Linked DNA regions of Struthio camelus. The protein of the gene in region 1 purifies or fractionates together with the protein of each later gene. This does not show direct contact. Links are inferred from orthologs where the notes say so. Each region holds a gene or a part of one and is shown on either strand. Other genes may lie near its edges.

Region 1 (7,251 bases):
ACTCCTTGGGGAAGTGGTAAGAGCGCTTTGCAAATATAGCAGCTGCTTGAACTGCAAGTCTTGGCCTGACTGTGGCCTAGCACCTTATCCATTGCTGTCCCACCACCTCTGGGCACAGCTGCTTTGCTGCTGCCTCCAGTCTTGATGCAATCACAGACATGAAACCACCCAGAGGCTCATGACCTGAGCCCTTTGCAGGGCTCCTCTTCCTGTTGCAAAGAGCTGCAAATCTCCTCTTGCTTGAGCAAACGAGGCCTGTGCAGATCATTGCCCTCTAAACAAGAAAAGGGACACATTTCCGGATGAGAAGGAAGCACCACCCACACCAGAGATGCAGGTTTAAAGGCCCCGGGCAGCACCCACGCTGCTGCCTCTCAGGTCTTGCTCTCCTGCACAGGGGTTTTACCCACATCATCCAAATGCCACTTACCTCCTCGGGGTGTGGAGCAGCCAAATCTGTCTGTTCGGTGCTGCACCAGTGAGATGCACTGTCTTAACGCCGGGTTGCTCTGTCCCCAGGCTGGAGTCCAGGATGTCGTCAGACATTAATATAATCCTCCAGCTCCTGCAGCGCCAGCTGTCCCAAGTGCCACCAGCGTACAGCCCCATCTCGCCGTCCTCCCACAACCTGGCCATGTACGGCATAGTCCCGCGGAGCCTGGAGCCGCTCACCCCCTGCGCACCCCTAGAGGAAGAGGAGCGGACAGCCCCAGGGCAGGTAAGGCCACCACTCCTAGCTCAGCACCAGCGGAGCCTTCTTCCACCTCCAGTAGACAGGTCCACGCAGTGCCAGTGTTTCTCTCCAGCCTTCCTATACACAAAGCGCAGCCAGGCTCAAGGGCCCAAGCAAAGCCCAGGGGTCTTGAAAAAGCAGCACATCTACCTGGAGATGCTTCTGCACAATGCACTGCTGGTTTCAGGGGCATCTCCAGCATGAGCAGGCTGCCCAGTCAATGGGGAGGGGAGTGGGTTCCTCTGCTCTGAGGTCCCCTCAGGGAAAAAAGATATTTTGGGGTTTGGAGCCTCATGGGGTGAGGAGAGACTGGGGCTACATCGTTTTGCTTTTGCCATAACCGACTTGATTCCTCCTTTCCCCCCAGAGCCCGAGCTACACAGAGGTAGATAAGTTCCACTTGAAATCCAGGGAGTCCTTGTCAAGCGGAATACACCTGACTGTGGCATCTGACGAAACCATGACGATCTACTCCGAGCAGGAGCACCATTCCCCAATTCTCCCGCACCCAGAGCCTCCTCACCAAAGGGCACCAAATACCCAGGGACTCTGCCGGGGCTCTCGCTTCCCTTCCCTTCCTGAGCACTTGGAGGCATCTTCAGAGCACCAGGACATTCAGAGACACCTCTCCGACCCTGTGCTTCCTGGAAGTTAGAGCTGTGGCGGCTGCAAAGCGAGTCAAGAGGAACCTCAACTGCGAACTCATTCAGTTGATGTTGACGTTGACTGCCAGGGTAAGATGGAGGACAATGCCTTTGGCTCAGGGGTATAATTTGTAGCTGTCTTCTGCCACCGTGAAAGGAAGCATAGAGTGGCTGGCTTCCAAGATCAACATTTTCCAGTGGATCCCATAGAGTAGATTTCATTTGCACATTATAGCGAACCCAGAACAGTTCTTTCCTGTGGCCATCAACAAGCTGGGTAAGCCAAACAGCACCCACCTCCTCTTCCTTGCCAAGGCTTCCTCCCAAGAATAGTGCAAGCCAAATGAGCCACAGCAACCGGAGGAGGGCAAATCCACAGAGCTTAGCTGCGAGGCCACTTTGCTGTCAGCTCTTTGGAGCAGGGACCATTGTGTTGGCGCTGGGCTTAGCCCAGCAGAGCCTGAAGGCACTGGCTTTACAGAAAGGGTAGTCACCAGAGGAGGAGGAGAACTGCACAGTGCAGTACTGGGGGGAGCTACAGGGGTGAAGCCCAGGACAAGGACAGAGGACAGAAGCCATTCCTGTCCTACCTGACTGCCACTGAGAAACTAAGGGCCGACAACCCCCACCACTCCAGCACGCTTCAGCACGAGTCCTAGGGCACTGACTTCTCCAGCAAGGCTGGTTGCACTTTGCAAACCCCAACATGCGTATCCCACAACTCCCCAGATGAATCCAACTGTTCACTGGCCTGGGCATAAAGCACAAAACTCAAAAGCACAATCCCAGAAAGCCGAAACGCCCCACACATCTCATGTCCAGCCTTTCCTCCTAGCTTTTCTCTTTTGATAAAAGTTTGATAGATGCTTCCTCTTCCCTAGACCTTTCCCAGCAGACTCCTGCAGCATCCCTTATAGGAGAAGCCCACTTAGCACTGCCACCTTGCCGTTCGGTTAGACGCTGTAACAGTCCTAGGCCGCCTGCTCAAGTAATATATTGAGCTCCCTTTGAGAGTAGTAAAACTGTGAGCATCTCTTTCTCCGGAGTTTTAGTGTACACTTTGCTAATAAAGATGTTTTTGGCACCTAATGTGGATTGCAGCGTGTTTGTTGGGAGCATCAGCAAATTCATCCCTGGCAGTAGCTTCAGGGTCCAGGTCCTCGTCTGTAAAGACCCTTGAGAAGATCGTGGTCAAACCCCAGATGCTTCTGCCAGGGACTATGGTGCTAACGGAGCCCATGAGCAGATCTTACAGATCAAGGATGAGGTCTGCTGGGTGTTTGCTGAACAATTTCTTCCCAACAGGATGCAGTTTGGTCTCAGCAGCTCTTTGCAAAAGCTTTTTTACAAGACCAGCCAGCTACTATTCCCCTGCATAGGTGAAACGATCTAGCAAACACACCTCAGGTAGTGATTACGCCAAGAGTCCTTAGAGCAAGCGGGATGTCAGATGACCATACTGATACCAGAACCCGCTCTACATCCCTTGCTAAAGGAGACACAGCTCTGGGTCCTGTCCAAACTCAATGGCTCCATAAGGAGAGCTGAGCCCAGGTTCACCCATAACTGATCCCTTCTGCTCCCAGCTGAGCCCTCCTGCCTTGGAGAGCCGGGGACTTCAGAGGGCGCAGGGCAGGCACAGCACAGGGACCAGAGCGGCTCAGACTGGGGTGCCCTGAGAGGGGGGCTCCGGGGAGCACCAGCACTGGGCTCGCATGCTCCAAAAATGCCAGGAGCACCCTCCTCCTCCAGGCAGGCCCTCGCGAGGCACTGCCAGCCCTCCCCTGCCCTCCAGCCCATCTGGCTCCACACGGCTGAGTGGGGGGCTGCCCTCAGGCCCTGGCTCCACGCCCAGCTCCAGCAAAGCAGCTATTTATACCCGGCGCCAGCTCAGGTTTCCGCTCCCCATGGCGGGGACGCCGCATCCCCGCACCGTGCCGCCTCTCCTGCTCAGCCCAGAGAGCTGGGGAGCCCCAAGGCCCTCAAGGGACCTGCATGAGCACCTCAGGAGCAACTGTACCCGCATCGGGTCCCCGGGGCAGCCGCGACAGAGCCAAATAGCTGCCCGGCCTGGGCTGCCACGGCTCCTCGGCCCGCAGGCCCAGGGGCTCACGCCAGGCGCGCTGGGCCGCAGCCTGTCCCCGTCCAGCCAGGAGCTGCCTGGGAAGCCCGCACAGGCTCCTTCCCCAGGTAAGGCTCAGGGAATTGCTCCAAGGCTGTTAAGTGCTACCAACAATAAAATCCGATAATTAAGCTTCGGTTAATTATAGATAAACGCAACCCTGTCAGGCACTCGGCGGAGGCGGGGCTCGAACCGTTAACCCCAGCGCGCGCCTGAAGTGCTCCACCGCCTCCAACTCACGTGACTGACACCTCTTCCTGCCAATCCGTTATCAGTAAGGTCTCAAGACCCCGCCTCATGCCACTGCGACCCCTAGCAGCCAATGGGATTTCAAGAACGAGTATGGCCTCCGTCTGGGGTGGGATCAAACGCAACGGTAGGTTACCTCACTCAAGGGGGCTAGCGTCCGTTTGGAATGATGGGTAAAACGACCAATAGAAAGCCAAAGAGGGCCAAACGGACGGGAGAATTACCCAATAGCTGCTCGAGAAGCTAAGTGACAGGCCAGGCAGCCAAGCCGTGTGCAAGGGGCGGGGCTCCCCGCGTGGCTTCCGCTCCCGTTGTGTGAGGGACCGAATCCCAAACGGCCTCCGCGCCGCTCTCGCCGTCGCCGGGTTTGGAGCCGGGCCCGGGGGCGCGGTGCCGTGCTGCGGCCTCGCCCCGCTCGCTGCCGCCTCGCCTCGCCCGGCCCGGCCCGGCCCGGCCCGGCCCGGCCCGCGCTGCGCCGCGCCCGCTGCCGCCTCGTCCGGCCCCGCTGCCCTCCGGCGGGCCCCGCGGCCCAGCCCGGGGCTCCCCCGCTTCTCCTCCTCCTCCGGGGCCCGCGGCCACCGCTGCCTCGCCATGTCGCTACACGGGAAGCGGAAGGAGATCTACAAATACGAGGCGCCCTGGACCGTGTACGCCATGAACTGGAGCGTCCGGCCGGACAAGCGGTTCCGCCTGGCGCTGGGCAGCTTCGTGGAGGAGTATAACAACAAGGTGGGCGGCGCCGGGGCAGGAGCGCGGCCCGCTCCCTTCCCCCCCACCCCCGGGACAGCGGGGCCCCCGCACCCGGCACGGCCCCACCGGGGGTACCCTGAGGGGGGGGGCTGCGCGGCGCCGTCAGCCCCTCGGCGGGCTGCAGCAGCGCGGGGGGCCGGGCCGCTCAGGCTGCTGCAGGCCGAGGGGCTGGGGCCGGGGAGAGCAGCGCGGGGGCTGCTCCTCGGCGAGGAAGAGCTCCTAGGTACAGCGTACAGGGCTTCTGCGCAGGGCGCTGCAAAGTTTTACGGCAGGGCTCGAGTTTGTGCTTGTGCGGGCTGCGTAAGGCTTTGCTGGAAGCGTTATGCCCTACTTGTCTTTTAGTGCTGTGGAGGACTTGTGCGCAGTAACTTTCTTTCTTTTTTTTTAATATATAAACTCTTTTTGTTGATCCTTTAGTTCCTTGCCCCCTCTCTGGGGGCAAGAATGTCCTGAGGCATAAGATTATATCCTCACTATTTCCCTGCCAGGTATAAGCAAGGGACCTAACACTGATAGTACAAGCCATGTCATCACCTCTTCAAATACATGCCCAGTCCTTTTCTGGACAGACTCTAGTGTGCTGAACTGATGCAGTGAATGCATACAGTTGGAGGAGAAATAAAGAAACAGCCATACCTATAGAGCGTAATAAACTTGTGTGAAACTGAAGAGTTTGTAAGTACAACTTTGTACGTAGCCTGTGTGTCTTGCAGCTTTGCCAAGCTGTTTAATAGGATTGCGGAAAATGATATTGGAAAAGTTGGTGTTGGGAATGGGGCTTTGTGCAAGGCTGTAATGAGATGAGGTGACCGTACGGCTGGAGTGGACATCTCTTGCAGTAGTTAGCTTACTGCTTTTGCAGTACTCTAAGCAGTGATACTTGTACCGAGCGCTTTGTATCGTAGTCCGATTACTGGCTGAACGTGAGTTGTCTCCTCATGTGTGTGAGTGTTGTTGTGGTTCTGGGGAAAGGCAGGTCACTGGTCTTGAAAACTTTCTATTTGTTTAGAGACTAACTTTAAAATGCTTTGTGTAGCATGTACTGTGAGAACCTAAAATAACAAATGCAAGCAATATTTTGTTTAGAAGTGGTAGAGTTCATTAATAAGCAGGTATAGTTCTGTGCTGTCTGCGGACAGGTAACAGAGTGAAGCTTTATGGTGCAGAAGGGTGATTTATGTGACCTTTAACTCCTTAAGTCTGGACCGTTCCCTGGGGTTGCCCTAGATTAAGACAGGATCTGCTTTTCAGTCCAGACTTTTCAAGTGAAAAGCAGTTGAGTCAACCAGTGGCTTTTCCGCCCTTTACATTCACAGTTGTTGCAGACGGAAATTGTGTAGGACTATGTAAATTACTGCTGTCTGTAAACATTTCCCCTGGATTCTTTTGACCTCTGTGCTTCAGGGATAACTATTATCCTGTTGACTTCAGTCCCTGTAAAGTGCTGTGCACTATATAATTGTATGAGAATGAGATGCCTGTCTGGATGCTGCTGCTATAGAAACAAAGAAGATGCGTGGTTAAAAATTAAGCCTGTACAATAAATCTAGTGTAATATGACCTTCACTTTGCTGAGATGTTTTGCTATGTCTGATGCTACAGAGTGTGTATTTTTTTTTTTTTTTTGCAGTTGTGAAGTGCTTTCAAAGGTGCCCTCCAAATAGGAGGGTCATTGACAGAGAGAGCTGTCTTAGGTAAATGTAAGTGTTGTTATTGCTTAGAGTATTGTTATTGTCTCCTTTACTTGGAAGACCAGAAGGAGCTTGCTTGGGAGTAGTTTTTCAGTTGCACTGTTTTTTTGGTGACTTACTGTGACTTTTGCCACTCCTCTGAATTCTGTGGAGGACACTGAAATATTTAGGAAGGAAATGACTTCGTACTCTGGATTTTGAACTGCTGGACAGATGCTGTCTGGTCATGTCAGGGACGTGCTAGCTGCAGACTCTTTCAGCTCCAGCTTCTGTCTGTTCATGTGAGTGGTACAACCAAAGGAACAACAGGAAAGAACTGAAGTTGTCCTGTTTATGTAGTTGATACCATTGTGCTGCAAAAGATCTAGAGCTTTTGATTTTATATCCGAAGTTCAGGGATAAGCAGCTGTTTAAGACTTTCAAGGAACTTCCATTTCATTTCATCTGACTCAGCAGTCATAATCTTAGGAGGCTTCTTAGAAATGTTGTTTGGAGCTCCTATTCCTGATGTTGCAGTGTTTTGTTTGAGAAAAATTGGCTTCCTTCCTTCCCCTTAATATGTTAAAACATCAGTCTGGAAAAGCAATTCTAGCTTTCTAAAAATCTAACCCAACAGCTGAAAATACCACTTCCTTATTAATCTATTGTTTTATTTTGAAAAGGGGGTGGGGGGGGTTAAAAAGTTCTGACGCACCGAGTGTTCACTGCAGCAGAAGTGCCTGCTGTGGGGTAGTGTAGTAAATGAGAGGACAGATTCTCTAAGTTTCTATTTCTGTAATAATTACCAGAGCTTGAAGTACCCGATGGGTTACAAATATAAAATGGCTGTTTATGCCTCTGTTTTGTGGGGAATTCAAATACATTAACTGCCAAACCCTGATTTATTGCTATCTCCAATTCCCAGACTCTCTTAACACTGTCAACCCTCTCCCCACCACTAACGAGCTGTGTAGTATACCAGAAAGCTAGTTACCAACAAATGTGTGAACCCCAAGGGAGTTTTGTTTCAGCTCGTATACCTTTGCTGATGAAATCACTGGCATGTGAAGAGAGATGACTTTG
Region 2 (6,876 bases), on another chromosome or scaffold:
AAGAGTGGAGTATGCAAAGAAAAATCATTGCTTGAGACACCAGTAACGTTTAAAAATTATTTTTTCTTTCAAAAACAAAACAAAAATAATCATCTTTCAAATTTGCCACGTTTCAGACAAAAATGGTACAACGCTGGGCAATTCCACAGCAAAAGCCAGGCCTCAGACTACACAAGTCCGTCTACTTCAGGCTCCTGTAGAACTAGACTTGCAGTCCAGGCAAATAATTAGCTTGCAAGTCTGCTTGTAGAGATAGATGAAACGTGCCCTCTGGAGCTTAAGGGGAAAAAAAAGTAGGTGTTCCTCTGCATACCCAGCCAGTGAAGGCCCTGCCAAGCCTACAATGCTACGTAGGCTGCACACAGGCTGTTTGAAGGATGTCTGAGAACGAGCCACAGGGGCAGAAGACAACATATAACATACGCATGAGCGCTCCAAAGGGGACTCTTTCAGAGCACTGATTTCAACTGTAATGAACAGGTATAGACATTTGTTAAAAGAGAAAATCTATTTTAACTTTGCAATAGCAAATTGCAATATTCTGCATTCCTCCTGCTACAATCAACTACTTTCCAGATAACCAAAGTGGCATTTAATCCAGTAAATGTAAATGTTACCCTTAACGCGTGAGCAAAGTAGGAGACTAAACAGGTTCTGGAAGTGAACAGGAAAATATTTTCCCTTTTGAAGTGGTCAAAATATTAAACACAGATGCATGAGTATATGTCTGAATTCCATTGAGACCTATCTATATAGATATACGTATGAGAGAGAGAGAGAACAGAAGGGGATGAGTAGAGGGAACAGAAAGGAAATCTTGGCAAAATAACACAGAAGAAAGGGAATAGAAAATATAGGAGAATGAGGTAGAAAGAACACGAAGAAATAAAAGTCCATGAAGATGCAGGGTAAGAATGGAAATATAGAACCAGTTACATGGAATTAATACTTATGAGTGTATTCTATAAAATAAAAAACAATACACAGAAGTCAAATACAGAACAAAACATTCAGTCATGCTGGTTTAGATGGGACTGATCAGCCATTGCTAACACTGAAGGAAAACGTGCGCGGTTTGGGGTCTACAGAGAAAGGCCTCTCTTGACCTGAGTAATTTCAAGGAAGGAAAAGAGAAAATGATAATGCAAATAAAGAAAGTGAAATCTGATGCTGCCCTCTGAGATGACCTTGGCACAGAGAAATACTTGCATGGGTATCAGCCCAGATAGCATAATTGCTGTTACTTTCAGAAGATTTGTACTTCTTGGTCAGTGCTGGCTCAGCTTGGATTCTTGCAGCTTTAGCAGTCTGTTTCATAGAAAGTAGTAATTTAGACTTCTCCACAAGAGGCAATGCTCTAGACCACACCAACCCCCTTATGTGGACTTTCCTTGTCTGAACGAGAAAGCAATGCTGGTGTCTGATGCTAGCATGGCAGTTGCTACCAGAATGCCTCTTTGACTACAGCAAGGATTTTTTTCTCCTTTTTAATCAGTCAATAACAAGCATTGTATGCTTGTTGTACAGGGGCAGTGGCTGCCAGAACTCTCCCAGAAGTCAAATCTTCAAAAATCAGAAGTACTAAATGCTTGCATCTCAGACTTTGTGTGGTCCAATTGTAAACAGATTTATCAAATCAGGTCGGCTGCATTCTGAAAGTGATTTTACATTTCACTTTAGAAACAACTGAAAAGAAAATCCTTCCCAGAATACAGTAAAGAAACACTTTAACAATTATACAGCATTTCTTAAACTAGGAAATATTATTTGATGTCACTCTTCATTACTTATAAACATATTACAAATCCAGCCTCCTCCAATACAGAACCACGTTTTATCTCTATTTCTGTAGTACTGTCCTCTGTAAAGCTCTTCATCTGCACGCTACTCTCACTTCCCTTGCCAGATGTGTTAAGTGTAGCGGACCCTCAGTTCCACTCTCACTCACTTTTGTTGATTTATTGCATCTCTTCCACTCTCTTCATGCAAACATAAATCAGTAAAAACATTTTGTGACGTTTCTTATACTTCAGCTTTTAAGACTTTTTCTTTTCATATTTTTCCTGCCTCCTGCGAGAGCTAGCCTGTGAAATACTGACTCTCCACTTCCTACCTATATATATGTATGGAGAGAGAGAAAGCTTATATGAAGCTAATGCATTACACTACATCATACAGCAACTACAAAGGATTCATAAAAAGAGCGTCTGCAAAACAGAGCTCTGACAGAAAACAATCTCTGCTCAGCAGTGAAGTTTTGAGCAAGTGGGAGAACATGAATGAAGTCCTTTCATTCTTCTGCCCAAGGTTAGCCGGAACATGGTTCAGCCCTACGAAGGCTCTAACAATAACTGAACAATTATTTCTTTCAGCAACAGAACTAAAAGCAATCCCTGTTCCCGTCTTTTGTTTCTGTTCCCACACTGCTCCCTGAGCAGTGCCATACTGAACCACACCACAGAACTGACCCAGATGAAAATTACTTCAACAAAAGACAACTTTACAAGCGTAATTGTTGTTTTTCATGTTGGCAGTTCACTGGCCATCTCCACATATGGCCTTAATGTTAGAACTGAGGGAGCAGCAGAGGGGCAGGAACAAGCCAAGAATCACCAGAGACAGGTACTTTATCTATCTTCCCATTACCAGACATGCAAAAATAGCTAGCTATACAGCCAGAGTGGAGATTTTTCAGCTGAAGAAAACAAATTCCCACACTCCATGTTATTCCTGGAACCCTTCTGTTCTTCACATTAGCAAGGTGCACAGCACGGCACAAAACTTAGTTAAGTCCTAAACTAATCTTTTTTTCTTCCTCATGTTCAAAGAAAGAGTGATCTGAGCTAGTGTACTGATTAGTCCCGAGTCGTCAAGGCGTAAGAGCCGATAGCTAAAAGCCGCGCTCCGCCATAGCTGAGCGGCACTACCAGCGCGGAGAAAACCCAGAACAAGCGACCCTGCTCAGGCCCTAAGCCGTCACCTACCTGCACCCTACATCACTGCACCCAACTTTCTGAAGCGGGCGCGGGTGGCGTTACCCTTAGACGCCCTTTCCCCCTCCCCCACCCCCAATTTGTTTCTGCCAGGGAGCTGGGCCGCTGGGCAGGGACGAGCAGCGGCGCGGGGCGGCCCGTGACCCCTTGGCGGGGGGCGGCAGCCCGGCGCAGAGGGAAGCCCGGGCCGAGGGCGGCGGGAGCTGCCGGCGTCGCGCGCCCTGAGGGGGGCGCGAGGGGGGAGGGGTGGGGACGGGCAGCCGGTTAACGGACGAGAAAGTTCTCCGCTGCGCCCCCTCCGCCTTTTCATACCACGGAGGCAACTTACCGGCGGCCGAGCGACGTGGGAGGCGGCCATAGCCCCGGGAGGGAACGGGCGGGGGGGCGACAAGGAGGTGCGCGGGTGGGGGGGAAGCCCGGGGCGAGCTGACATCGAGCGGGGCCTTCCCCGGGGCAGGGCAGCGCGGCCGCGGCGGCTCCCCTGCCAGCGCGGGAACGGCGGCGCCGGCCGGGGCGGGGCCAAGAGGAGGTGTCGGGGGCGGGGCCAACGGGGAGGGGGCGGGACGGAGGGGCGGGGCTAACGGAACGGGCGGGCGACTCCCGAACGGGCGGGGCCGCTTCGGTCTCACGCGGTTTGGGGGCGCGGGGGGGGGGGGAGGAGGGAAGGGTCGGCGCCGGCGCCGCCTGACTCAAACGATCTCCCGCCGCGAGGGGGCGGGGCGGGACGTGCGGCCGCGTCCCCCCCCCCCACCCCACCCCTCGCCGCACGGGGGCGCCGGGTCCTCGCCGAACGGGCGGGGCGCGTCCCGCTGCCGCCGCGGCCGTGATTGAGCCGCGGGGACGGGGCATGTCGGCACCGCCGTGAGGAGGAGGCGGCGGGGAGGAGCCCGGGCGGCGGCAGCAGCGGCAGCAGCAGCAACAACTCCGCGGCGCCCTGAGCCCCGGCGGCGGCGGCGGCATGGGGCGGTGATGGCGGAGCTGCGCCAAGAGTCGGTGGTGCAGTTCCTGGCGGCGCGGGGCGGGCGGGCGCGCAACGCGGAGCTGCTGGAGCATTTCCGGGGCTGGCTCAGCCCCCCGGAGCCCGGCCGCCGCGCCGCCGCCCGCCACCGCTTCAAGGAGCTCGTCAACGCCGTGGCCACCGTGCGCCAGGAGCCCGGCACCGGCGTCAAGTACGTGCAGCTCCGCCGCCGGTACTGCCCGCCGGAGCCCGCCGCCGGCGCCGTGACCCCCGCGGAGGCGGCGGCGGCGGCGGCGGCGGGGGGCAGCGCGGAGCGGCCGAGCCCGCCGCCCTCCCCCGCTGAGGAGCCGCCGCCGCCGCCGCCGGGCGGCGATGCCGGCAGCCGCCCTCAGCCGGCGGCGCCGCGGGGCGAGGCGACCCGGCCGGCGGCGGGCGGCGGGCGGCGAAGGAGCTCGCGGCGGGGGCCGCCGGCCGGGCGCGGCGGCGAGGAGGCGGCGGCGGTAGCGGCGGCGGCGGTGGCGGGCCCGGGGCGGCCGCCGGCCGAGGAGGAGGCGGCGGCGGCGGCGGAGGCGGGGGGGTGCCCGGGCGCGGCCACGCCGCGGGGCGGCTGCCGGAGCCTGCGGGAGCTGGCGCGGGGCGGCTCGCCGCAGCTGAAGCGCGGCGGGCCGCGGGGGGCCCGCGGCGGCGAGTCGGACAGCGCCTCGGTGGCCTCGTCGTCGGCCGAGGAGGAGGGAGGGGGCGGCGGCGCGGGCGCGGTGGCGCTGGACCCGCTGGAGCACGCCTGGATGCTCTCGGCCTCGGACGGGCGGTGGGAGAGCCTGGAAGGGCTGCTGAGCTGCGAGCCGGCGCTGCTCTGCAAGCGGGACTTCGTCACCGGCTTCACGGTGCTGCACTGGGCCGCCAAGCACGGGCGGCAGGAGCTGCTGGCCATGCTGGTCAACTTCGCCCAGCGGCACCGGCTGCCCGTGGACATCAACGCCCGCACCAGCGGCGGGTACACGGCGCTGCACCTCGCCGCCATGCACGGCCGCACCGAGGTGGTGAAGCTCCTGGTGGGCGCCTACGACGCCGACGTGGACATCCGCGACTACAGCGGGCGCAAGGCCGCCCAGTACCTGCGCCAGGGCACCCCGGGGGACATGCGGAGCCTCGTGGGGGCCCTGGACGAGGAGGACGAGGAAGAGGAGGAAGGGGCGGCTGGCAACGGGAGCGGCCGCTGGAGGCTCTCCAAGGTGTTACCCTCCAACCTCATGAGCTACCGGCTCTCCCACCACCATCACCACCACCACCACAGCACAGGGGAGGAGGCCGAGGGCACCGAAGGGGCGGCGGTGTCGGGCAAGGGCAAGGAGATGACCAGGAAAGCCTCCGGCAGTGGGCGGATGAAGCCTCGGCTTAATAAGATCCGCTTCAGGACTCAGATCATCCACAACACGCCCTCCTTCCGCGGTGACGCCGAGGAGGAAGAGCAGGAGGAGAAGTCCCCGAAAGTGTCATTCAAGCTCAGGCCGAAGTCCAACGTTTTTGGATAAGGCAGGAGGAGCCGGAGGTGTGGGAGGTGGGCTCAGGGGCCAGAGCACCCTAAGGTGTAGTGTGGGAGGTGGGGCAGGTACGAGCGGGTGCTCCTCTAGACTTATGTGCTCTCAGGAGATAGGTCCTGAGACTCTTGCTTTAACTCTGGGGTTTCAGTGAGTTCAACAGGCCGGCAGGGCTGTGGTGGCTCACAACGCCCAAGAAAGCAGCTGCTTCGATTATGGCCTTGGTGCTGAAACAAGGGGCAGTGGGTGCATTGAGAAACGCTGGGGTGTTTAAAAGCTGTGCTGCTTTCTCTCTAAGGGCAAACTTCTCCATCAGAAGCCAGTGTTAGTAAATCTAGGATTAGCGAGTTGAGTGGGGGAAAGAAAAATGCAAATGCTCTGTTCTTACGTTATCAGCTGGTACTATAAACTACTTGTGAACAGCTGGCTATTTAAGAACACCTCAGTAGTATGCAAGTATACTTTAAGTCTCTTTCTAACAGCAATACCACCTGGCACAGTGCAGAGTTGGGTACCCAAAAGGAGACTGTAGATAAATGGTTTCCTGTCGGAGTCTTAGCTCCAGTCCAGCAAAGACTTGAACCTGTATTGACTTTATGCATTGAAAATTGCCTAATTTGACATCACATACATTAAAAAAAAAAAAAAAAAAAAAAGCACTGCAAACAATGAATGGAGTTAAACGTGCAGAAGTCTCTGCTGTCTGAGGTACTACTGAACTTGCTTATCACTGTTGGAATACTAATACAAGATAATGTAGAGCAAAGAATCTTTTTATATATTTCGTATCTTATGTTTTGTCGTAGGCAAAGCAATTTTATTTTGATCACTGTGAATTCTCAAGTGCCAGACCTAGCACAGTTTGAGTTACTGAAGTCTGGTCAGTTCTTGCTAATGTTGTTTGTATAGCTCACTGCATTTAAAACCAGAAAATTGCATTGTATGTGGTACGTGTGAAAGTCATTCTGTTTTAGTGAAGAGCCCAGAAGCTATTGCATGAAACCTTCATGAAGCTCTAATAAGGTCCTGTAATGCAATAGCGCAGGCCTGTGTTCGCTAGCAACTTGTGTTCCAATTCCTACAGCTTTGTGCAGAAAAACCCAAAAGACGGGGAGCGGGAGGGGCAAGGTACATAAGTAGAACTCTGAAACTCTATCGCTGTCTGTTAGGTTGCGGAGCAAAAGCAGTATAAGATACGTTCTAGTTAATGATGGCAACAGTGTTTGAGTTCTTTTAAACCTGTATTTCTAGAGAAGGAACCACCAGGGCTTTGATCTGCTGTTTAACAGCCTAGTAAGTCTTAATCTGATTGATGAGCCTATCTGTCTGCTAAAGATTTCACCAGACCTGAATCTTGCTTCTCTGCTTTAAAGATAGCAATTAGCAA
Region 3 (8,016 bases), on another chromosome or scaffold:
ATATTTTTGTGCAGTGAGACAGGTATTATGATAGTAAGAGAAAAGTCAGGACAGGTCAGTTTCTCCATAGATCTTGTATCACTTAATTCACAAAAGGACGCTGCTACAGCTCCATGCCATACTACCATATACCATACTCCTCCTGTCAGCTTAGAACATGGTAGTTGAATATGGCAAGTACCAGTATAAGGCAATTAACAGCTACTTCATCCAGCGTTTTCAAAACCTTGTATTGTTTAGATATAGCCTTCTCTAAATCTAGGGTGGTTTGAGAGAATAAAGGAGGCAATTACTAAGCATCTGCAACTGCTTAGTGCTGCTTTACAGAAGAAGCCCGTTTCTCACCTGGAGATAGCCCAATTACTTTACACCCTCAAATCCAGTGAAAACTTAAATGATTTACAAAGTGACAGACATCATCAGGCAGGCTGACACAAATTTCCTTAACAACATTCAGAACTGTAGTGGCCCATGCTAAGAGAAATACTAGTTCAGCATGACCGAAATCTTCCAAAAAGAGAAAACTTACCTCCAGCTCTCTCAAGATAGTGGCAGCATCATTTGTAACAAAAAGCTTCTCCAGGTGGTTGATAACCATTTTGTTCATTCCTAAGAGAGAGGAAAACAAAAATCATTTGTAAGCTGTGTGTGGTTTTTACAGATACTGTTTCTTAAGCAGAAGATTTTAGGTATATTTTATGCATTAAAATGTTATAACTTTGTAGGAACACCTAAAAGATATTTAGGTTTGGGAGTGTTACATGAGGAAGAAATCATTTTCATGCCTGAATGAACAGTTCTCTCTTCAGAAATGCTCGTACGTTATGTAATTAAATAATATTGGGACTATCTTTTGTTTAGGTACGCTTGTCAGAACACGGTACGGTTATGTTCATTATAACTATCTACCTAGTTACTGTCTTTCCTTTAATTTTGTAGGTCTTCAGCAGAGCAGTAAGACAACAAAAAGGATACAGTAACTGTACAAAAACAGAGAAAAGTAAATATACTACAAAAAAAACTTAAGAGTTAACTAAACAAAATCTGTAATCTTTATATCCAAAAAAGCTGCATTTTGAACTCAGCAGTGAGTTCGATGTGTTTCTTCAGGAAACTAATAAACAGCTGCTTCTTCATCCAAGTAAGATTAGCCTTTGAACATTATCATTTTTCACCAAAACATTACAGTGACGTTTGGATTTATTTACCATTTGGTCCATAAGCTGTACGGGTGGTTTGAGCAAGTTCTTTGCATGCCTGGATGTTCCTGTAAACAGCTTCTTCAAGTCCTGAATAATGCTAAAAAGGAAAACGTTACCAGCTTGGAAAGGGGCAAGGTTTTGTGAACGTAGTGTTTCATCATATGCTTTTTATTCACACCTCTGCATTCCACAGAGATAAAACTGTGCTCTGTATTCAAACATACATGCATGACTTGAAAAATCACAATGATTCAGAAAATATCTGTGATTGCTCAGCTTCCATTTGGAAGCCTTTTGAAAAGGAGGGATGCCTAGAAGACCTTCAGAAGACCTACAAAGCTCGGAACACTCTTCTCTGTGCCCTCCTTCAGAGGGCACAGAAAAGTATAGGCAGGTATTCTGCAAATGCAAAGCATCTCAGGGGGCCAAGTGCTTCCTTGTTTTGTGAAATACAGCTCCTGTTGTTCTGCCCTTGTACCTTACATCAAAGGACCAGCATTGGCGCTATTCTGCTTCCCTGCCCCGACCCCCACCCCTCTGAAATATGCTACTCCCTGTCTCCAGAAAAGATCTTGGAAAACAAATATAGGGCTTCCTGAGTTGCCTAATCTCCCCTTCCATGCGTTTAAACGTCTGCAGTCGTAAGTTTCTTTCCCCTCCTCCCGAAAAAATAAGTTTTGGGTGTTTTTTCTTTTTCTACCAGCTTTCTCAAACTAGGCTTCTGCTCTATCAGGCACGGTCCTTGATGACTGTCAAAATCTGTGTTTATTAAATTCGTTCAGTATTAAGTGTAACTATACAGAAAACACTTGGTTATTTCGCAGTACCTGCTTAGAGCTAAAGCAACAGAAAACAATCAAAGAATATATACGGTAAGCAGTCAGGCCACTTCGGAACTGCTCCAGCTATAGGGCCCGGCTGCACTGCACTGCCCACCGTCCGCAAACACTCTCCGTAACAAAACGCCCTCCCGCACTCATTCTCAAAACGAAGGCAGGCCGCGAGCGCTTCGCCGGGAAGAGTCAGCGCCGCTGGCGAGCCGAGAGTAGGGGCGGCCAGGAAGCGGCCCCGGGCGCCCCACGCGTGAGGCGGGAGGGCGCGGACGGAGCGGCCCCGCGGGCGGCGAGAGGCAGCGCCCGCGCCACCCCGGGCACGGAGGGCCCCCCCCCCCACCGCGGGCGAGGCGGCCTCGGCGAAGGGGGCGATCACGTCCAGTCCCCCGTTCCCCACCCCCCCCCGCCCCGGGCAGAGCCTTCTGGAAGCCCGCGTGCGCCAGGCACCGCCCCCCTGCCCCCTTCTCCCTCCAGGCCCCGCGCAGAGCGGCGCAGCGGGGCCGGGGCCGGCAGCGGCAAGGCGGGCAGCGGCAGGCCGCCCCGCCCGCCGAGCGCGTGGGCCGCCAGGCCCGGATGGCCTTCCAGAAGCTTCCCCGCGCCACCTCACCGCCGCGAAAGGGGTGCCGGGGCGGGCGGCAGCAGCGTCCGCCCGGCGCCGCTCTCACCTTCGCCCCTTCCTTGAGCATCTGGGCGAAGCCCGGGGCCTTGGGGACGTGCAGCGCCATCTCGCACCGCTTAACGCTCCGCTCCGTTCCGCTCCGGCCGGCCACCCACCACCGCGCGCCAGGGACGACGGGAGAGCGGGCCGCCGTGCGCGTGCGCGCGCACGCGCGCGAGGGGGGGGGAAGTGGGGCGGGGCGGGGCGGGGCGGGGCGTGGTGGCGCGCGGGTAGCCGTTGGGTCCCCTAACGGCCGCGGCAGGCGTTGGCAGGCGGCGGCCGGTTGCCGCTTTGCCGGGTGGAGGCCTTCGGGCGTGCGGACGCTGTGGCGGAGCCCGTGCCTCTCGGCCGGGAGGGCCTCCTCCAATCCGGGTCTCGGAAACCAGCAGCTAGTCCGAGCCCTTTCATTCCTCACGGTGCAGCCTAAGCAAGTCAGAAGCCCGCTTCGCTGAAAGCCTTACGCTCAGATAAGACCTCTGAGTTTCCAAGAGAGGATATAGCATTATGGAAGGGGTAACGTTTAGATACTTCTATATTATGAGATGGCGGGCTTTTCCTATGGCTTTGTATTTTGCTTTATGTAAATGAAACCAAACAGGATGGCACATCTGACTTCTACAGTGTTTAAACTGACTTACACTTATGTCATTTTATTTAAAAAGAAAAGACCTCCAAATCATACCTTTCTGAAGCAGGTCAGATACACTTTCTTCATTCATTGTACTGTTGGTACACTCACTACCTCTGTTTATAAAAGGCCCCGAGTAATGGTGTTTTTTCCCTAAGGAACATTGTCCATGTAGTGAAGTGATAGTACTGTTGTGGTGGTGGCGGCTCGTGTTGGCTCCTTCAGAACCTTTCTCTCACTGTCTAGTTTAGCATCTTGCCTCTTGGGCGTGTCTCTGAGTACATTTAGTGATACACAGTCCAGAAAGGGAGTTAAGCGCCATCATAACCACTGATGGCAATAGCCAGTCATAAAACTTTGCACACTCCAATCTAGTATTTGGCCTAATGCATACGTGACTTGTTTCAAAAGGGCAACAAATGTTCTGATAGGAAGAGCGAGTGCAGTCAGCTCTCCATTATCCAGGGTAATGCCAAGTAATTATGTACTACAGGACAAGCTGAAGAGTAGTTTGGAGGCACACCTCAACATCTCTACAGGCAGCTTAGGTCCAAGCAAGATTAGCTGTAGTCTAGCGCTGGAATAGCTCTTTACGTTGCTTCCTGATGCCTTTATTTCTGAGGCAGGGGAGCTGCTTCTGTAGGGAGTTGCTTTAGGTTCGATAAACCTTTTGGTTCTGTGGCACACAAAATCAAATACGCTTTTTCAAGATGAGAGCTTCCAAAGCTCTAGAAGTGATACCGCTGTGCTTAGGCCACGCTATATCTGAGCCTGTAACCCAACAGAGACTGAGTTGCTCCACATCTGCAGCATTGATAGACCACCTAAAGATCAAGGAACTGCTTGATAAGCATGTATGTTATTGATTAAGCGACCTCCAGAGGAAACACTCGATTTAGTTTTGCATCCTATAATGCTTAGAATTCAGCCAGCTTTAACCTGTAACATATCATGGCAGTGTGAAAAAAAAGTGATGTTGGAAAGCAAACTATACATAAAGCACCCAGGATTATACATTGACAAATCTGTACGCAGTTCTGCCACAAGCACACAGGGGCAGATGACATTTGAAGCAGAGGTGGGAACCTCTTCAGCCCTGACTACTGTGACTACAAAGTCTGGGCACTGCAAAAGGAGGTGCTCGGGCTTGGGATAAGGGGCATAACACCGTTTATTACTCTGCACCACAGTGCAGATGAGGAACAAGAAAATGCCTGTCCTATTCTAGAGCCAAGGAGTAGTTTCTTGTAAAGCAAGTTCTGGAATCTGTTCTTAGCCATGGAGCTCAGAGAATGGACTCCTAAGTCGATGCAGAAGACTTTTCATAGTCAGGAGCATGGGGCCCGGGTGCTACATCAGTAACCGAGTGCATTCTGGTTACAGGCATTCATTGTAGGGGAGAGAGAGGAAACATGGTTCAGTGGTTAAACTGCTGATCATTACCTGCAGGATGGGTTTCAGTTCTCTCCTTTATGACTAATAGCCTGCATGATGTCAGGCAAGTTTCTAGGGATTCATCAACACTTAAAAGTTTTGTCATTTTTTTGCCATACATTTCTCATTCTCTGTGCTGTTACTGGATGTAGCTGCCTCATTATTGTGGAACTTACATGAGTACATTTTTTTTTCCAGATAGGAAACAGAATGGTTAAGTGATAAAATAGTTCTTAGAAATTTTGCCAACTTCAGCCAGGAAGTCCATGGCTCTTTCCCTTTAGGATCCTATCTACACACGACATCATTTGTAGGTGGAATGCCAAACTGGGCTTCAGCTGTGATGCCCAAAATAGTATTGTTTTGTATTAAAAAAAATTCTGAGCTCGTTCGTATACACGGGTGTTATTTTCCTGACTTGGTTTTCACCAAGCCAAAAAACAGAAGAATCAAGGCAATGGTATGTAGGTTGTTAAAGAAATAGGCTTTTACTGTTAAAAAACATTTCTCAATTTTGGGTCCGTTATAATGTCTCTGTAACAAGAGAGGCTGAGTATTTATCTTTTAAGAATTTCTGAAATCTGTTTTTAGATTTTTCAGGGAAAGCTTCTCCAAAGCACTCATTTTCAGTACCTTAGTACTGAAAGTAGTACAGGCCATAGTCAGTAGCTTAGTAAATGTTAGCTTACCAATTAAACCCAACGTTATTACTGCTTGGCAGTGTGGAATTTTAACCTTGTGAGCATTCATCCTTACTCAAAAGGTGACCATCCCTTTCTAATTCATCAGTAATTTAAATGATGTTTTTCCATTAGTCTCTCAAGTGATTATATATGGTGAATGTAGCTTGTCTAGTGTTGGAACTAGAGCAAAAAACAAAGTCAGCTCATGCAAGCCAATAATAGCATTGCAGCATTGCATGATGTTTCTTCTAGGTCATCAGTGACTTTAGCACCACTAAAGTAAGCAACTTGAGGGTGAAAGACTTATTCAGCGCTTCAGTTATCCAGTTCACTCCAATTTAGACATCTTTTGTTTGGAGGAGTTAAATGACCCGGTGTTTGTGTAACTCATAATATTGCAGATTCATAAAGGAAGTGAGTGGTTTTCAATAATTCCACACTCCAGTTCCAGTATTGTAAGCCAGGACAGCTTCCAGAAAAGCAGTCCCATCTCTGGCTGCTCATTCTCACCTCTGCATTCCCCTTCCTCTCCCCTCAGATCCTCTTGTGCTAAACAGCTGCGCACCCATACAGTAAACCAGATTAGGGAATTGATCTTACATTAAAACTGAGCCAAAAGAGGCCTGGTCACCTTTCAGCTTCCTCACCGCATGGCTGTGCAAAGACTTGTGCCGGCACAAGGACGGATGAAGAGAGGCAGGGAAGCAACCTCTTTCTGTGGCAGTGCTGTCTTATGCTATCTTAAAATATTTTTGGAACTGCCTGTATATACAATACCTTCAGTGAAGCTTATGCCAGCTACGTTTTTTTTAAGCCAGAAGCTCACTGAAGCTAGAGTGTATATGTTTGTCTGTGCATGATTATAAATACATGCATACATACATATCTATATGAATATATCACTAAAAACATCTCTGTTTCTGTTCTAATCAGGAGCTATTTGGGAGTGGATGTCTAATCATGACTTTGTCTTGGCCTTGATCTTTTTTTAGCTACTCATCTACTCTGTTTATATTCTGTACAGATATTGCCATGCTAAAGGACCATCCAAAGGTCAGAGGTTTGGCTGTTGGCAGTTGGCTGCCCTTTCACCAGCCAAAATCTATTACTGTACAAATGGAAATCCCCAGCTTATCTTTAGGCACATGTTTGTCAAATTCTGGGATGGTAAAATTTAAACAATTTTGAGACGTTTATGCAGAGGATAGAATGTTAAAGGGCTTAGTTTCTAGTTGGTTATTTAGCAGTGGGAACCTGAGCAATTGAAAAATAAGAGATAAAACGTGTCCGGTGAAAGTATAATATCTAACTGTGCTCGTCAAACAATACTGGTATTTGGCCAATGAAAAATGTGAGTGGCATATTGAGAGAAGCCTGAGGATCACACCTGGTTTGCATAGAATGCTATTAATACCAGAAACACAGAAGTGTGAACCTCATAGGGTTCACAGGGCTTAGAATTCAAGATGAACATAAATCTCTTAGTAACAGCAGAAGTAGTTGCATCTGCCTGTCCCAAATTGTGCTTATCTCCCTTGTGACATAATGAGAAGGAGAAATCTAGTCAACCTATGAGTACTTCTTAGGTCATTGGTCCACAGCGCCTGGCTAAAATGTTGCTCATGTCCTGGACTTAGCTTGCTTGATAGTGCAGATGATTCCAAGCTAGACAGGAACGCTAGATTTTGATACTATGTGTGTATTCCTACCTCAGTACATGTATTTTCTGCTATAGCTAATCCAGTTAGCTTAGGTCACTGGAAAGCACTTCAGGAGTTTTTAGAGGAGTATTACTCTTGCATGGGATCAATAGATGAAATCGTTTGAAAATGTCGACTTAAATTAAAACAGTATTGATAGTCTCCAGCTGATCTACTTCACAAGTGCCAACAGTTCAGAGGTTACTCTGAACAGACAAGATTGGAAAGGATGATAGGCTCGGAATGGAAGTGATGCCTTTTTGCTTTTGTGTTGCAGGTCCAATCAAGATACAAAATCATGCTGTGACAACAGGGCAATACATGCCAAAATACAATTGAAGCGCATCTGTGTCGTGAGAGAAAGCAAAATTATTGAGATCTTTCTGGTTTCATCTCATAAGAAGGCAAGCTTAACTGGGTAAAAATGACAATATGTCTTCTAGATTGTGGGTTCTGTTTTGCATGAGGAGTTCAAATTCCATGGTCAGATAAGGCCTAGAAAAACATCTCTCTTTAGTATCCAGTGTGCTCCTATGGGAACTTTTTCCAGTGGCGTACACAGCAGCCTGGAAATGCAAGCCAGCTGCTGTTATAAATTTGGATATTCTTATTGGAGTTGGGAAGAATTTATCAGGACTTCATGGATGTGTGGAAACTCAGAGAACATCAAGCTGAGGAGTGGGGAAAATGTTCAGACACTTTAGGCTGCACTTGCAAAAGAAAGGAAATACTGGAATAGGATGGCATGCTGGGGACTGAATAGCTAAAGACTTCTGCAGAAATGGCACCAAGCTGAAGTCATAAGGAGCAAAGGAAATGACAGCTATCTGCAGTCTCCTGGAAGTAAGCTGCTACTCACCTGATTAGGATTTCTTTCA
Region 4 (7,887 bases), on another chromosome or scaffold:
GGAGCTCAGTCTCTGCTCTGGGGACAGCACTGAAAAGGTGTCGGCAGGCTGGGGAGCAAGGCTGTAGCCCTGACGTCTCCTTCTGGTCTAGGTAACGTTCAGTGATGACAGTGACGTGGAGGATCCCAAACTGGGGGTGACCCCAGCAGCTGGCAAAACCCCAGGCCCCAGCCACAAGACTCCCCAGCCAACAGGCCGCACCCGGAGAGCCCTGCGCCCCAAAGCCACGGCTGCTGACACAGAGGGGTCCCAGACGAGCTCGTCGGAGGACAGCTCCCGGAGCAGCAATGCCCAGCCCCGGAGAGCGCGAGCGGGCTCCCGCAGAGCTGGGGGCACAGAGGAGAAAAGAGAGCGAACAACCCGCAGGGCTCCTGGCAGGAGAGCAGAGGAGGAGCGGGAACTTCTGAGGACCATTGAGGAAGAGGAGAAGGTGGAAGAAGAGCTTGAGATTAGCTTTGAGGTTTTGCGGGCCTCTGAGGAAGAAGAGGGAGTCCCAGGTGAGCAAGGCTGCCTGGGAGTGGGGGGGATAATCAGCAGGGAGCCTTCAAGCTACCCCAGCAGCTGTCTGGAGGTGGAGATATCCAAGGCCCTGGGCTGTCCCTGCCACCAGGCCCCTCTTGCTCTCCCTTAAGGCAGGAGACGGCAGCCCCAGCGTGGGCAGGAGAGCGCAGACGGGGAGCGTGAGGTCCTGCGGCGAGACGCCAGTGAGGACATCCTGGCCATACGGAGGCTTGGCAGCGGGGGCCCCCTGCACCTGGAGGCCCTCTCCTCCTCCCTGTCCACGGCTGGCGGTGAGCGACCGATGCTGAGGGGCTGCTCTGTGGGCTGTTGCTGTGCAGGGCACTGGTTTTGGGCTGGGGGCTCGTGGCTGTGCTGGGGAATCCACGTTTGTCCCCTCTCCTACCAGCTCCTCGGGCAGGCGGCTCTGGAAACCTCTGCTCTAGCCCTTCTCCACCTCCTCTTACAATTTCCCATTGCTTTGAGCTTTGCCAAAGGGTTCAGGTGCTCTGCTCTCTGTCAGGAGCTCACCTCTGCCTTGGGGGGGATTTGCTGCTTTGCCCCTTCCAGATGTCTCTTCCCTGGACAAAGCCTGTGAATTCCTGAAAGGTGCTTTCAACTGCATCAGCCACTGCCCTCCCAGTGCCCTCTACAGCCAAGTCTGCCAGCTCCTGGCCCTGTCCCTGGGCAAGCAGGACCCCATCTCCACTGCCTACCTGGTGTCGGAGTCTGTCTCGGTCACCACCCGCCATCAGCTGCTCAGCACGGTCCACAGGAAACTTCAGTAAGTCCCTCCACCCTCCCTGGCTGGCTTTGTGGAACAAAACCCCCTCGGCCTCCCCTGCTTTTAACCTTAGAGCACTGCTGAGCAGGAGGGGGGTCTCTGCCAAAAACTTTGGAGCCCCAGCAAAGGTAATTTCAAAGTGGATTTATTCCCTGACTGTCTTTCCCTCTCCAGCAAAGCCAAGAAGTCAGCAGCAGACGTAGCCGAGCAGCTCCACGGGCTCTCCTTGCGGGAGGAGAGCGCTGCTGTGCGCAGCCACCACCTCGCTCAGCTCCAAGACCTCTTCGAGTTCAGCTCCACGGGGATGGGGCCTCAGGAGCAGGATGGCTTCAGGGAGCAGCTGGAGAACATCCCCAGTGGTAAGGGCTCATCCAAAAGCAAGGGCTGGGAAGCTCACTGCTCTGTGTCGGTCTGGGGCTGAGTCCTGGAGGGCTGTGTGGCCTTGGGACTGTCCCCTGGCTGTTCCTGAGGTCTGGGTCTGGTTCCCAGGGGTGACCGTGTGCGTGCTGACCCTGGTGAGCCTCCAGCCTGCCTCCGTGGGAGACATGCTGCTGCTCACACGGCTGGAGAAGGGCAGCGCTCCTGTGACCATCCGGATCCCGACTGCGCTCACCAAGGTGAGGGCAGGAAAGGGAGAGGGGACAAGCCCAGCTGCAGGGTGAGTTTGGGGCTGGGATCACTGTTCCCTTCCTCTTCCAGGCCCCGCTGAGCTCGGTGCTGAGCGAGTTCGATGCCATTCAGAAGGAGCAGAAGGAATCCAGCAACTGCACGGACAAGAGGGACTGGTGGCTGTGTCGCTCGGAGCTGGACCAGAGAATGAAGGTTGGGGAGAGACTTCCCTCACCCTGATCTGCCTGGTGGCACCTGGCACAGCTTTTGAAGAGGGCTGCCATGCCCAGACCCCCCGTGACTCTGGCCTCTTGCAGAACCTCATCGAAACCCTGGAGATGCAGGTGTTGGGCTGTTGGAAGGGGGCCCTGCTCCCTGCCAGCCAGGAGCCCAGCCTGGCAGAGGAGGCTTCCAGCTTGTGCAACCAGCTCCAGAAATGTGGTTGGGAGGACGCAGATGCAGCGCTCCTCAAGGTTTGTGTTGGAGATCCTAGTTGGCCTGGGCTGGGGCAGCAGTTTGGGCAGCCAAACAGCCTGGCATCACGTGCCAGCCTACAGCATGGTGCTGTCAATGTTTATGCATTTCTGCTCCCCTCTTCCTTCCTGTAGGTTGTGCTGAACTCCTCTCCCCTCCTCACTGCCCAAGATTTGCAGTCCCTGGCCTTTGGGCTCTGCCCAGCTCAGCCCTACACGGCCCAGCTCCTCTTGCAGGAAGCCCTGGAGAAGCGGAGAGCTTGCGCCAGGCAGGCCAGCGGCTCCCTTGTCCTGGTGCTGGATAAGGTGAGTCTCTGCTCCTGCCTGTACTCTGCGTGGCTGCTTGCTGCCTTTTGTTCACCCCTTCCTCTTCCTCCCAGCACCTGCAGAAGCTACCCTGGGAGAGCATGGCGTGTCTGAAGGCTGTGCCCGTAACCAGGCTCCCTTCCCTGCGATTCCTGCTTGGCTATTCCCTGGCGCAGAAGGTGAGAGGGCCAGGGACTGTGCACCCCGGGCCGGGGCTCTGCGCACACTGGCTCTGCAGCACCGCAGGGTTTGGCACCCTGCGGGTTCTGCTCCGGGCTGGGGCTGACTTGTCTCGTGTCCCCACTCTGGCAGCGGGCAGGATCTGTGCTGAGCCGCGGCGTGAACCCCAGCAGCACTTTCTACATCCTCAACCCGCACAACAACCTGCCGGGCACCGAGGAGCGTTTCCGGGGCTGGTTTGAGAGGTGAGCGTGTCCCCTGCCCCGGGCAGGGATCCTGCAGCCTGGGGTGCCCCAGGGGCTCTCTGCTCTCCGCCGTCCTCACCAGGTCTCTCCCGCAGCGAGCCCGGCTGGAGCGGTGTGACAGGAGCCATCCCGAGCCAGGAGCAGATGCAGACGGCGCTCTCGGAGCGTGATCTCTACATGTGAGCCTTGGGGATGGCGTGGGCTCCTTTGAGACAGCCCAGGGCCCTCTTTAAGCCTGATGGGGGAGGTCGGGGAGGCTTCACCAGATCTCTCACCTGGACCTTCTCCCTGCAGCTACGCCGGGCACGGAGCAGGCGCCCGCTTCCTGGACGGGCAGTCCATCGCCAGGCTGGAGTGCCGCGCCGTGGCCCTGCTCTTCGGCTGCAGCAGCGCCGCCCTGGCCGTGCGCGGCAGCCTGGAGGGATCTGGCATCGTTCTCAAGTACATCATGGCTGGGTGGTGAGTGGCGAGGAGATGCGGAAAGCAGGGGCGAGGCTTGGGGAAGCTCAGCTTGTCCCTTTGCTACAAGGGCCGTCTCGTGCAGCTGGGTGTCTCTGCCCCTGCAGCAGTCCTGTTTTCCCCCCACCCTGCGCATCTGCACCCCAAAGGGGCTGACATGACCCCTTGCTCCTTTCCAGCCCCCTCGTCCTGGGCAACCTGTGGGACGTGACGGACCGCGACATCGACCGCTACGCCGAGGCTCTGCTCCAGGGCTGGCTGAAGGCGGGCTCGGGCGCCCCGCTCCTGCACTCTGTCGCCCAGGCCCGCCAGGCTCCCAAACTCAAGTACCTCATCGGCGCTGCCCCCGTTGCCTACGGCTTGCCTGTGTGCCTGCAGTGAGGGCTCAGCGCTGCCTCTGCCACTGCCTCTTGGCCCCAGCCCTCCTCCCCTCCCCTCTCTCCCTGTGCCCCCCCCCCAATGATGATCAGGTGCTGCTGAGGCTGTTTTAAACTTGCGGTGTTTGCACAGGGGGCCAGCTGGGGTGGGGTGTTACATGTTTAACTGTTCTTGGATCTTAACTTATTTTAAAGTGGTTTTAGATGACACAGTCGCTGTATGTTGAGACAATAAAGCTGGTGCAGTTGGACCTGACCCTTGTGTGCTGGCTAAGGATGGTGCTCAGGCTCAGGGTGCCTGCCACCCTGGGCTGCCCTGTGGGGCTCTGCCCCCTTCCCTCTGCCTCTGTCCCCTCTCCCCGGGCCCCAGCCAGCTCTCCCAGGTAAGCAGGAGCCCGTTGCACTGCAGCTCTGAGCGATCGCCCACCCCATGGGCTGTGTTGTCCCTTGCGGGGCATGCTCTGCCCTCCGAGGGTGACCTCAAAGCACCTTCTTGGGGTCCTGCTGCAGCTGCACCCCTCGTTGTCCTCCTTGGGGCCTCTGCAGTTGGGATTTTCCCTCCTCCCTTGTTTGGGGGGGGGGGGGAACACCCCTCCTAGCTGGGTGAGGGACAGAGGGAACAACCCTGGCTGCTGCAGCCCCTGCCTCTTCCTCGCACCTTGGAAGCCCCAGTGGAGGGTGGGGGGCAGTAAACCCCCTTTTCCCTGGGTGGGAGCAGTGGGTGGGGGTCCTGCAATAGAGCCTATCCTTATTTGGGGGGGGAACACCCCTGGGTCCCCCCTGTCTTGGGGGGGGCAACCTGGCTCCTTCCTTCCCTGCTTTTGGGGGGGGGGAATGACCCCCCCCCGGCTGCCCCCTGTCCTGCTTTGGGGGGGGGGGGGAGGAAATGATCCCCTCCGGCTACCCCCTGCCCTGGGGCTGTTGCCCCCGCCGGCCGCCAGGGGGCGCCGCGGCACCAGCGAGAGGCGGCAGCTGGCGCTAGAGCGTCGCGGCGGGCGGCACCAGCGAGACGGGGCGACGTGCGCTAGAGCGTCGCGGGCGGCCCAAGATGGCGCAGCAGGTGAATGTGGCGGAGCTGTCGCTGCCGCAGCTGGAGATGCTCAAGAGCCAGCTCGACCAGGTGGGCCGCGCCGGGAGCCGGGCTCCGCGGCTGGAGGGGCTGCTGGGGGCGGGGGACAGGGCTGGGGGAGCGCCGGGCCGGTGGAGAGGCCGAAATGGGGGTGAGGCCTGATGTGGCTGTGGGGACTGGAGGGGGCGGCGAGAGGGTGCTGGGCTGTGGGGACTGGGGGGGTCGCATGTGGGACCAGACTGGTCTAGGCTGGAGGTCCTGGGGGGTGACTTATGGGACCAGACTGAGTCAGCCTGGGGGGACAGGGGGACGTTAAGGTGGGGCTAGGGTGTGGGGACTGGGGGGAGATATGTGGGACCAGACTGGGCCAGGCTGTGGGGACTGCAGGGGCGGGGGTGGTGGTGATGGTGGTGGTGTATGGGACCAAATAGGGTCAGGCTGGACTGGGATATGGGGACTGGGTGACTGGAGAGGTGACACGTGGGACCAGACTGGGCCGAGCTGTGGGAACTGGGGGTTATCAAAGTGGGGACTACTGGGCCGGGCTGGACCAGGCTGGGGGGTGACATGGTGGGGCTGGACTGGGTGGTCTGGGGGGGTGACATGTGGGACTGGACTGGGCTAGGCTGTGGGGGTGGCAGGGTAAGGTTAGACTGTGCCACAGGTCTGCTGTGGGGGGGAGCTGGGTGGCCTAGGGGTGATGACCAGACCAGGTGACGTGCCCCAGCCCTGTCCTGCCGTACATGGCACTCGATTAGGGCCTCTTCTGCTCTCTCAGCACCTCTTTGGTGGTAAGGGGACGCTCACAGGCTCACGCTCTCTCGCCTAGGAGGTGGAGTTCCTCTCGTCCTCTATTGCCCAGCTCAAAGTGGTGCAGACCAAGTACGTGGAAGCCAAGGACTGCCTCAATGTACTCAACAAAAGCAACGAAGGTGAGTGAGATACCTTCACCCTCGGCCTGCGTGGCCCTGCCAGGTCCCTGGGGCACTTACTGGGATGCCTGAGCAGCAACTGGAGAGGCTGGTGTTGTCCTGCCTGGCCTTGCCAGTCCTGGCTGCTGCCTAGGTGAGACACATCACTCTGTGCTTTGAGTGACGACTGAGAGCCCAGGCTCTGCGCTTTCTTCTGCCCTGCGTCAGTTTATGCCCTTGGACCAGGTTCTTGTTTCCGTGGTGCCTCCTTCCCTGCTAGGAGGTTGGGCGTTAAGCAGCATCCCAGGCACGCGGGGTGCACGGAGGGGCTAGATGTGGTTGTAACGTCGTACCTAGCTGTTTGGCGCTGTGTAGCTGCTCTGTGTGCCCCTCGCCCTGCTGTGGGCAATCAGCTGGTGCATCCGAGCGCTCAAACACGTTTCTGCTTTGTTTCCTGTAGGAAAGGACCTGCTGGTCCCGCTCACCAGCTCTGTATCCTTTGCCAGCCCTGCAGTCCTCTGAAGTTAACTCTTCTTTGCTAGCGGGGACGCGGGAATGTCAACTGCTAGGGCCGAGGGGCTTGGGGGACGTTTTACCTGGCTGTGCCCACTTCAGGAGGGACATGGCCTCTCCTGGTTGCTCCTTCCCTGCCTCCTGGGAAGGTGCTGGCCAGTCCTCGTTCCTCTCTGAGCAAGGACCCCAGGATGTTTCCTTTCCCTCTGGCCAGCGGCTGAGCTGGGGTGTTTAGGGCTGACAGATTTTTGCCCCTGTTGCTCTTGACACGAGCTCTGCTTCTTCATGCTGGGCCTGTGCTGCTCGGGTCGTGCGTTGGTCCGTGGTGGCCACTGTGCCGAGGACGCCTGGCCTCGGTTCCCAGCTCTGCTGGGCTGAGGTGCTTTGCTCCCAGAGCTGCCTAGTTGTCTTGGTTCCCTGCTTTCCCTTGACCCCCCCCCGCCAGATGTATGTCCCTGGGAAGCTCTCAGATGTCGAGCACGTGCTGATAGATGTAGGAACAGGCTACTACGTGGAGAAGGTAAGGGGTGCGTGGAGTGGCCCAGAAGCAGCTGCGTTTCTGCAGCAGATCATAAACAGAATTGTCCGTGGCCGAAGGGTAGCAGGAACTTTGTGCCTAGAGCTCTCTGTTATCCTTTATTCCCTCAGACAGCAGATGATGCCCGAGACTTTTTCAAGCGGAAGATTGACTTCCTGACCAAACAGATGGAGAAGATCCAGCCTGCGCTGCAGGAGAAACATGCCATGAAGCAGGGTAAGGGCCCATCTCCCACACCCCGCTGCAGCTCCTCGCTCTGGGCAGGCCCCCGAGCAGCTCCCCTCACTGCCTGGGTGCCTTGTCTTCCTGCAGCCGTGGTGGAAATGATGAGCCAGAAGATCCAGCAGCTCACGGCCCTGGGGGCCGCGCAGGGCGTGACAACAAAGGCGTAGCCTTCGGCCTCAGGGGCTGCCTTCATCAGCATCGCTGCTGGGACGAGAGCAGAGCTGCTGAAGAAAGCCGCTGGGGCCCAGACCACCTTGTCCCCCCTTCCCCAACACTCCTCTCCCTGCTCGGCAGGGCTCTGCTGTTGACTCTAAACACGTGCGGTGCCTGGAAGCAAAGCACCAGCCAAACCCTTCCCTTTTTGTAAGCAGTGCGTTGCTGCCAGTGTATGGAATAAATTAGAGATGCAGGGAACAGCTCCGGGCGGCATCTGGTGCTTCTCGAACCGGGAAGGTTTCAAGGGCAGGAATTCAGCCCTCTGCAGCCAGCGGGAGGTAGGATTGGGCAGGGGCGGAGAGGCACGCAAAGAGGGGGAAAAACAACCTGGGACTCCTCCCAAAGTGGAGTCATGCCAGGCGAAACAGGGGGCCTGCTCCAGCCCGAAAGATCACGCGATACAGACCGGCCTTATCTGAGGAAATCATGCTCTTCCCGATCCCGCAGCTCTCGCAGCGGGGATTCCCAAGATCCTCCGGCCCCC

Evidence for each region.
Region 2: the proteins of DCAF7 (region 1) and SOWAHC purify together in Homo sapiens (affinity purification with mass spectrometry; 4 studies listed by BioGRID and IntAct, counting the BioPlex papers as one, with this or other methods). This does not show direct contact. The link is inferred for Struthio camelus from reciprocal best matches to the Homo sapiens genes DCAF7 and SOWAHC.
Region 3: the proteins of DCAF7 (region 1) and CCT8 purify together in Homo sapiens (affinity purification with mass spectrometry; 3 studies listed by BioGRID and IntAct, with this or other methods). This does not show direct contact. The link is inferred for Struthio camelus from reciprocal best matches to the Homo sapiens genes DCAF7 and CCT8.
Region 4: the proteins of DCAF7 (region 1) and PFDN5 purify together in Homo sapiens (affinity purification with mass spectrometry; 3 studies listed by BioGRID and IntAct, with this or other methods). This does not show direct contact. The link is inferred for Struthio camelus from reciprocal best matches to the Homo sapiens genes DCAF7 and PFDN5.

Annotation. Positions count from the first base shown.
Region 1 is NC_090966.1:4,188,552-4,195,802, forward strand, and holds the start of DCAF7 (DDB1- and CUL4-associated factor 7), read left to right. Parts: upstream 1-4,239; 5' UTR 4,240-4,339; coding exon 4,340-4,477; intron 4,478-7,251. Other genes in the region: KCNH6 (potassium voltage-gated channel subfamily H member 6), read left to right, coding at 520-718, 1,101-1,388. UniProt on the Homo sapiens protein: Involved in craniofacial development. Acts upstream of the EDN1 pathway and is required for formation of the upper jaw equivalent, the palatoquadrate. The activity required for EDN1 pathway function differs between the first and second arches.
Region 2 is NC_090942.1:155,922,965-155,929,840, forward strand, and holds the start of SOWAHC (ankyrin repeat domain-containing protein SOWAHC), read left to right. Parts: upstream 1-3,863; 5' UTR 3,864-3,962; coding exon 3,963-5,483; 3' UTR 5,484-6,876. Other genes in the region: SEPTIN10 (septin-10), read right to left, coding at 3,322-3,426.
Region 3 is NC_090942.1:118,857,815-118,865,830, forward strand, and holds the start of CCT8 (T-complex protein 1 subunit theta), read right to left. Parts: upstream 3,005-8,016; 5' UTR 2,761-3,004; coding exon 2,701-2,760; intron 1,300-2,700; coding exon 1,209-1,299; intron 610-1,208; coding exon 530-609; intron 1-529. UniProt on the Homo sapiens protein: Component of the chaperonin-containing T-complex (TRiC), a molecular chaperone complex that assists the folding of actin, tubulin and other proteins upon ATP hydrolysis.
Region 4 is NC_090969.1:1,548,839-1,556,725, reverse strand, and holds PFDN5 (prefoldin subunit 5), read left to right. Parts: upstream 1-4,877; 5' UTR 4,878-4,979; coding exon 4,980-5,051; intron 5,052-5,829; coding exon 5,830-5,932; intron 5,933-6,371; coding exon 6,372-6,403; intron 6,404-6,869; coding exon 6,870-6,944; intron 6,945-7,072; coding exon 7,073-7,178; intron 7,179-7,274; coding exon 7,275-7,354; 3' UTR 7,355-7,603; downstream 7,604-7,887. Other genes in the region: ESPL1 (separin), read left to right, coding at 92-497, 633-791, 1,069-1,282, 1,457-1,641, 1,772-1,899, 1,982-2,104, 2,209-2,364, 2,500-2,670 and 5 more. UniProt on the Homo sapiens protein: Binds specifically to cytosolic chaperonin (c-CPN) and transfers target proteins to it. Binds to nascent polypeptide chain and promotes folding in an environment in which there are many competing pathways for nonnative proteins.